Oryctolagus cuniculus: one gene and its partner. The protein of the gene in region 1 purifies or fractionates together with the protein of each later gene. This does not show direct contact. Links are inferred from orthologs where the notes say so. Each region holds a gene or a part of one and is shown in the gene's direction. Other genes may lie near its edges.

What was found. Proteins that work in one complex are often made in the same cells at the same time.
Region 2: the proteins of LURAP1 (region 1) and CDC42BPB purify together in Homo sapiens (co-immunoprecipitation; 3 studies listed by BioGRID and IntAct, with this or other methods). This does not show direct contact. The link is inferred for Oryctolagus cuniculus from reciprocal best matches to the Homo sapiens genes LURAP1 and CDC42BPB.

Annotation. Positions count from the first base shown.
Region 1 is NC_091438.1:126,551,995-126,556,202, reverse strand, and holds the start of LURAP1 (leucine rich adaptor protein 1), read left to right. Parts: upstream 1-1,403; 5' UTR 1,404-1,597; coding exon 1,598-1,795; intron 1,796-4,208. UniProt on the Homo sapiens protein: Acts as an activator of the canonical NF-kappa-B pathway and drive the production of pro-inflammatory cytokines. Promotes the antigen (Ag)-presenting and priming function of dendritic cells via the canonical NF-kappa-B pathway.
Region 2 is NC_091451.1:46,025,110-46,028,624, reverse strand, and holds part of CDC42BPB (serine/threonine-protein kinase MRCK beta), read left to right. Parts: intron 1-199; coding exon 200-283; intron 284-435; coding exon 436-513; intron 514-1,523; coding exon 1,524-1,629; intron 1,630-2,038; coding exon 2,039-2,175; intron 2,176-2,638; coding exon 2,639-2,778; intron 2,779-3,515. UniProt on the Homo sapiens protein: Serine/threonine-protein kinase which is an important downstream effector of CDC42 and plays a role in the regulation of cytoskeleton reorganization and cell migration. Regulates actin cytoskeletal reorganization via phosphorylation of PPP1R12C and MYL9/MLC2.

The DNA of each region.
Region 1 (4,208 bases):
CTAAATGCAAAGTAAATTTTCAGAAAGGCAAATGTTTTGCCAGTCTCTGATTTAAAACCTTCCCATTGGGACCGGTGTTCTGATGCAGTGTGCATTCCATAATGGAGTGGATGGAAGATCTCTGCCTCTCCTCCTCTCTCTATTGCTCTTTCAAATAGATAGATGCTTAAAAAAGAGAGAGAAAAGAAAACCCCTTTCTCAGAAAAAAAAAAAAAAACTTTAAGAAAAACTTAAATTACAAAGGATACAATCATATGAACTAGAAATAATGATGGAAATATGTAGTCATGGAGAAAGGTATCTGTAGTTATCTCATTAGGAAGCCAATAGACAATGTTTAAAAGTAGGAAGTGGTGGGGCCATGTGCTGCGGCATAGCAGGTAAAGCCATGGTCTGCAGTGCCGGCATCCCATATGGGCGCCGATTCAAGTCCCAGCTGCTCCACTTCCAATCCAGCTCTCTGCTATGGCCTGGGAGAAAGCAGTAGAAGATAGCCCAAGTCTTTGGACCCCTGCATCTATGTGGAAGACCCAGAAGAAGCTCTTGGCTCTTAGCTACGGATCGTCCCCAGCCCCAGCTGTTGTGGCCAACTGGGGAGTGAACCAGCAGATGGAAGATTTCTCTCTGTGTGTAACTTTGTATTTCAAATAAATAAATAAATCTTTTTTTAAAATTAGGAAGTGGTGCTGTTAGCCTATTTGTTGTTCAGAGTGTACACACCAGGAAAAAAAACTAAAAGTGGTTGCCTCTAGGGAGTGGGGCCTGGAGGTGTGAAAGGGAAGGGCCAGGGCACCTGTCTTCATGGTACAGCCTTCTGTAACCATGGACTGGAGTTGCTTGGGTTAAAAGCCAAAACCAAACCAAATTTTTCATGGCTCCTCCTTGGCTCTGGAAACATCTTCTATAGCCCTGTTGCTCAAAGTGTGGTCCCCAGACCCACAAGCAGCATGACCATTCCCTGGGAGCCTGTTGGAAAAGCAGAATCTCAGCCCCACCTGCAGATTTACAGGATCAGAACCTGCATTTTAAGATTGGCAAGTGATGCACAGGCCCCTGGGGCTTCAGTACTGGTTGCTCCTCACTGGCCATCCACTCCTTTCGTCTGAATTCCAGCTCCCGGGGAGTGTGTGCAGGTGGCTAGCTTGATTTTAGCCGCCCGCCCGTTTTAGTTCCAGCTGGCCTACTCCAGGAAACCTTCCAAACCTTCTGTGCAGCTCTCTGAGACTTCTGTTCCTGAAATTCGCACATCTCTAAGGCTTCGCTTTCATTCAGCAAACGTTTATTTTGGGTGCTCGTTGCGTGCCTAGCTGGAGTCAGCGCCGGGGTAGGGAGAAGGCGCTGAGCTCTCCGGGTGCACGTAGGATCGCCCAGCCTCACGGCACGCAGGGCCAGGGGTTGTGTGCGCAGCACTCGGAGACACAGCCTCACACGGCTCTGCGCGGCTTTTCTGAGAGTTACGGCGCCCTCCTCCCGCCCCCGCGCAGTGCCGGGCGGGGACCCACCGGTTCCGCTCCGCGTTAGCAGGGGCGACAGAAAGACCCCCGGGAGCAGGACCCCAGCGTCCGGCCGCCCATCCCCGCTCGCGCTTGGGGCCCGCATGGAGGGGCCGGTGGAGTCCCAGACTCCTGACCTGCGAGACGTGGAGGGCAAGGTGGGCAGGAAGACCCCTGAAGGGCTGCTCCGTGGGCTGCGAGGCGAGTGGGAGCCGGAACCCTCTGGCGCCCTGCTGCTCCCGGGGTCGCCCGGAACGGGCCACGGCCTGGGGGACAGGATCATGGCGCTGAGGATGGAGCTGGTGAGTGTGCGGGATGAGTCCCCCCGCGTAGGGCTGGAAGGGACGGACTCACGCCCCCGGAGGTGGTCTGGAGAGTCCCCACCTAACTCCTTGGGGTCCCTCCCAGATCTGTCGTAAAGCCCGGTCTGGAGGTGGGGTGACGTCCTTTTAATTGTCCCCCGAGGGTGAGTGCGCTGTGGATGCGTCCTGAGGACTAGGGCTGGGAGACGCAGGCTCTGGGAAGTTTTTCCTGCCGAGTAATTGGGGGGGGGGGGGGCTGGGAAGTTCAGAGAACCTATCGCAGCACGCTTCAGCGTCCTCCCGGTACGGGGCCACTCGTTCCCCCAGCCCCCATCCCAAGGCAGCCAGTCTTTCTCTTCCTGCAAACTGGGAATGGGCTTGGTTCCTGTGAGGAGGGGGGTGTTCTCGCTAGGATTCGGCACACAAGAGATCTGAAGGGCAGAGCCGCTGAAAGCGGACTGGAGCGCTGGAGACCCCGCCTCCGCGTTCCCTAGCCCCACTTGGTGTGGGCATTTGAAAGTTCCAAGACTCAGCAGAGACAGCAGCCGGCGCTTCGGTCCCCTCACCTGCGACTCAGCCTCCTCCCCCGCACCTTCTTGGCAAAGAGAGGCCACAGGGCAGCAGCCCTCCCCTATCCCAGTTGCTGCTGGTCTAGATTCTGAGCCAAAAGGGCAGCTGGGGCCCCCCACAGACTCCCCAGGGCCCTAGGTGGCTCCCCAGAGCCCTGGTTCCGGTGAAGGGGTGATTTACACCTGCCACGGCTTTGCAGCCAGTTCTGGAGAGCTGAGGAATTGCCCGCTGCTCCCTGGCCCCAGACCAGGAGCTGACTGTGAGTGTGTCAGCCAAGTCTTCCTGGAGCCCCACTTTGTGCCCAGTTCTGGGAGGAAGCAAAGGGAGGAGGTCAGAGAGGCTCCCGCTCAGGCCCCAAATTAGAGACTCTGAGGAGAGCTTGATGGGCGGAGCAGTCAAGGGAGGCTCCCTGGGGGTAGTTCTTGGATGCCAAGTGTGCACCTGGCCTTGAAGGTTGGAGGCAAGTGCCAAACCCAGAGCAGGGCTGTGACTGTATCCAGCTATGCTGGGGGGGGGGGGGGGACCTCACTGTGCAAACTTTAGCCCAAGGCCTAGAAAGAGACAACCTGGACTGCCCTGCTTTGCAAGGAACTTTGACTGTGTATGTGCCGGCATCGTGCCCAGCCCTTTATGTGATATTCTCTTGCAACCCTGTTAGGTAAGGAATACCTGCCTAACACAGGTAACACCAGGCACAGAGAGGTTAACTCACTGCCCAAGGTCATGAAAAAAGTGAAAAGCAGAGCCAGGATTTGAACCCAGGTCTGCTGACCACCACTTTGCATCTTTACAACTGAGACCTGTTCTGTGCTGGACACTTTACAATACGTTTTGTATCACTGGAATGAGAAAAGTGGTCATCATTTCCCCCACCTCGGATACACTTGCAGGTGCTGGTTCAGGAGCTTCCTGAACTCACAAGGAGCCTGGAGGCGCCACGCCTTGTCTTTCTGCCTCTCTCTTCTGCTTCGGTGGAGACCACCTGTTTATAAGCTGTAGGGGTACATTTCACTTCTGATTGTCTCTCTCTGTATTTTTGACCCAGCTGGCCTGGGGCATGAGGCTGGATGTAAAGGGTACAACTTAGGGAGCCTTCCTGAGCCAGGACAAGGAGAGGGGCCCTAGCATTCCCTCCACCCTCCTCAGGCTTGGAGTCCTCAGTCTCCGACCTAGAGGAGCAAGGGGTGGGGCAGGGGTTTCCCTGGGGCCACTGGAGGCAAGACTGGTGCAAGCCCTCTAAGAATTGCCCTGCAGTTGTCCTTCTTCCCTGGGGCTCCCATGCAGGGAGGGGCAGTCCTGCCCTTGTGGCCAAGGTCGGTCCTGCCTCTAGGGCTCTTCTTACCCTTCTTCTGCTGTAGAATGAGTGAATGAGTCAGACTCTGGAATGAGACCCTGGGTTTCGTGGGAATGGGAAACAATGCAACCTCCCCTCCTTAGTTCTCCCACCCAAAGAACTGTTGCTAGGGCAACAGCAGAGCCAACAGCGGAGCCGGTGTGAAGCAGCTATAGGCAGGAAGCGGGAAGGCATGGGTTCAAGTCTTGGCTGTGCTTCTGAATCACTGTGTGATCTTGAGCAGGCCCTGTCTCTCCTCGCCTCACTTTTTGTGCCTGTGGAACCTGCCTGCTGGGGCTGGGTCTTTTCCTGCAGGTTCCGTTTTGCCTGGGGCCGGAGGCTGCCCCCAGCAGGACCCCAGCATAGGCAGTCTATGTATTATCAAGGACAGGAGGAGGGAATCCGAATCCTCCTGGGAAGAGAATGGGGTTTGAGTAGCTTCTGAGGCTGTAGCTCTGCTCAGCTGTTTTTCCTCTACTCTGCTTCCAAAGAGAGAGTGTGAAATGAGTG
Region 2 (3,515 bases), on another chromosome or scaffold:
GAGCCTCCCCTTCGTCCTCACACTGCCAGGCTGAGGTAAAATCACGGAAGAATCAGGTCACGTGGCCCAGTCCTGGCTCCCCTGCATGGGCGTGCCCAGGGCGGGAGAGCTGGGGGTAGGGTGCGGGCCTGGGACTCAGGCTCCCGGGGAGTGGAGCAGGTGTGGGCTGCACGGGACCCTGTGCGCCTTCGTTTTGCAGAGCAGCTCAGCCAGTGAGCAGGAAGCGCAGGCTGCAAAGCCGGAGGCCTCGCCCTCTGTGGCCGCCAGCACCGAGCAGCAGGAGGTAAGGCGGTGCTGCCTTGGGGAGCAAAGACCCTGTCCCCCAGCCTGCAGCGGGAGCCTCGCCCTTCGGCACAGATGTTGCTAGCAGCCCGTTGTAGAGAGGGGAGTCCTACGCCAAGGTGCGCATGCTCACCTCTCCTGCCTGTCTCCTAGGACCTGGCGCGACCGCCACAGAGGATGCCCGCTGTGCCGCTGCCCACCACGCCGGCCCTTGCCCTGGCTGGACCAAAGGTAGGGCCTCGTGCGTCATTCAGAAAGATCGGAAAATAACTGGTGTGAAGAAGACAGCGTTCTGGACACAGTAGGATCTCGTGCCCTGTGCCGAGCTGGTCTGGGTTGGTGGCGGCCTAGGAGCCTGCGGTGGCGTCACCACACCTGTGCTCCACACAGCCGTCCACACAGCCTGTGCTCGTGCTGAGGGTGTCGCTCCATGGTTCTGAGCCTTGTCGTTTTGGCCCTGCCGTCGGCACAGGCAGGCCTCCCTGATTTGTGTCGTGGCCTGGCGTTCCATGGCCTCCTTTGTGTTTGGTGTAGACAGCACAGAGCACTCAGTTCGCAGTGGTGCCCAGCCCCCCTGACTGACTCTGAGCCCACGTGGCAGGACTCTCTGATGCCGCCGTCGGCGTGGCCCTGACGTCTGCCCGGTTCCCGCTGAGGAAGAAGTGGGGTTCATTTAAGATGAGCTGACCTTTGGCTTTTGGCCTTAAGAGCCTTCAAGAGTCAGGGACCGCGTTAAGAGGGTCGTCCTACCTTTTGTGAACGTATTCGATACCCAGAAGTGGCTCTGCTGGGGTGTCGCCCAGCACAGCTGTGACCGGCCCAGCCACTGCCCGCGCCCCTCCCTGGGTGCTTGGTCACCCACTCCTCGCTTCTTCCCGACGATCTCGCCACACCTGTGCCATGCTGAGCGCATTGTGGGACTCAGCCCTGCCCTGTGTTGGTCTCTGGTCCGTGGATTGCGGCGCTGGGGCCTGCCAAGCTTTTCCTGTTGGGAGCACTCCCGTGCAGGGCTGCTTGGAGAGACAGTCTGGCCCCAGCATAGTCTGTCTTGGGGAGCTTATGCCAGGGTCAGCCCCGCCTCCCAGGGCCGCGGCTCAGCCCACCTGTGTCTCTGAGGTGAGCAAAGGTGGATGTGTTCTGGCCTACACGCCCTAGGAGGTTCCAGGCTCACGTGGCGAGGCCTCAGGGGACCGTGTGCTGCTCAGCCGTGCTCACCTCTGTTCTTGGCCCTCTTCCTCCAGCCCAAGGCCCACCAGTTCAGCATCAAGTCCTTCTCCAGCCCCACACAGTGCAGCCACTGCACCTCCCTGATGGTCGGCCTCATTCGCCAGGGCTACGCCTGCGAGGGTGAGTGTCCGGCCTCGCCTCCCCGCCGGCCTGGAGCAGCAGGGAAGAGACGGGGTGTGCACTGGCCAGGTGGGCCTGGCAGCCCTGTGGGTGAGGCTGTACACGGGGGGCCGCCCCTGGGCTGTGTGGACGCCGCCTTGGTGGTTTTCTTGGTTCTCCGTGTGGTAGCAGGAGCATTTTCCTTTTAACTTGTAAGCACTGGTTGCTTGCCAGGACCCCGGTCTATATGCACGGCAGCCCTGGGGGACTGGGGACCTGCCTGTGTGGGATGGCGTAACCACGAGCCAAGCCCCGCCTTCCTATAAGCCAGGTGGACGTCCATGCAGCACTAGATCGCTGGGCTTCTGGGGTTGTGGTGACGCTGCCCTGGGTACGTCCCGAGGGTCACATGCCTTCCTGTCCTTCCCAGTGTGTTCCTTTGCGTGCCACGTCTCCTGCAGAGACAGCGCCCCCCAGGTGTGCCCCATCCCTCCCGAGCAGTCCAAGAGGCCTCTTGGCGTGGACGTACAGAGGGGCATAGGAACAGCCTACAAGGGCTACGTCAAGGTAAGAGGGCTGCAGCCTCCCAGTCTGTGGCCCCTTCCACTCAGTCCTCAGCGTCCCGGGCTAGTGGCTGAGGGCCACCACACTGCTCTTGAAGCCGGTGCCTGAGTGAGGTGACCTGGGGTGCTCCTGGGGGCAGGAGGTCCTGAGGACCGGAACCCACTGAGGTGCCTATGCGAGGTGACCTGGGGTGCTCCTGGGAGGCAGGGGGTCCTGAGGACCGGAACCCACTGGGGGCCCATCCCCCCGGCTGGCCAGGTGTCCAGGGTCAGGTTGGGTGGGAGGACTGCAAGGCTCCTGTCCACTGTGGCCCAGCTGCTGGTGGACCCGCACATGCGGAGCCTTCCCCAGATACAGCCCTGGCCGCTGGGACGTGCACAGCGCCAGAGGCAGGTGGTGAGCTGGCCCTGCGGCCTCCGCTGCCGCTGCCCTGGCCCAGCGAAGCGTGGTCACTGTGCGTCTGCAGGTCCCAAAGCCCAGCGGGGTGAAGAAGGGCTGGCAGCGGGCGTACGCGGTGGTGTGCGACTGCAAGCTCTTCCTGTACGACCTGCCTGAGGGGAAGTCTGCCCAGCCCGGGGTCGTCGCCAGCCAGGTCCTGGACCTCAGGTGTGTGTCGGCGTGCTGGCCACGCGCTCTGGCGGGGACCCGGCTCAGCTGCCGGCAGCTGTCACAGAGGGTTGGGTGCTTGGTGACCCTCAACCTCATCGACACCTTCACCTCCTTAACTACTGTGAGCCCAAACACGGGACAGGTTTAGTTACTCCTGAGAGGCTGTGAGCGTCACTGCTGTGGCTGTCTGTGCATTGGAAAGATGGCTGCGGTGGGTGTTGTCTGTAGCTGGGACAGCCACGTCCCCTGTCGGGAGTGCCGGGGTCAAGTCCCAGCCTGGGTTTTTATCCAGGCCCCTGCTGATGTGTACCTTCGAGACAGCTTGTGGGGGACGCAGATGGACGTCCTGGCTCCTGGTTTCAACCTAGCCCACCCCAGTGATTGCAGGCGTTTGGAGAGTGAGCCAGAGGATGGAAGATTTCTGTTTCTCTGCCTTTCAAATAAATGAAAAATAAACTAAGAAAAAATTGCCAGGTAGACATTTAGCATGTGACTCTGTGCCCACGAACAGCAGGAACTCGGCAGAGGCACAGCCTGTGCCGGAAGCTTGGCACCAGGGCTGAGCGTCAGACCCGTGCGAGTGTAGCCCTGCACCCGCGTCTCTGTCCTCAGACTCCATGTCTGTGACACCGGCAAGGACCCCACTGCCCACACAGAGGGCTGGGCTGAGGGTCAAGCCAATTACTGGAGATGCACTACACACAGTACACACAGGCCGTCCGTACGTGAGAGAC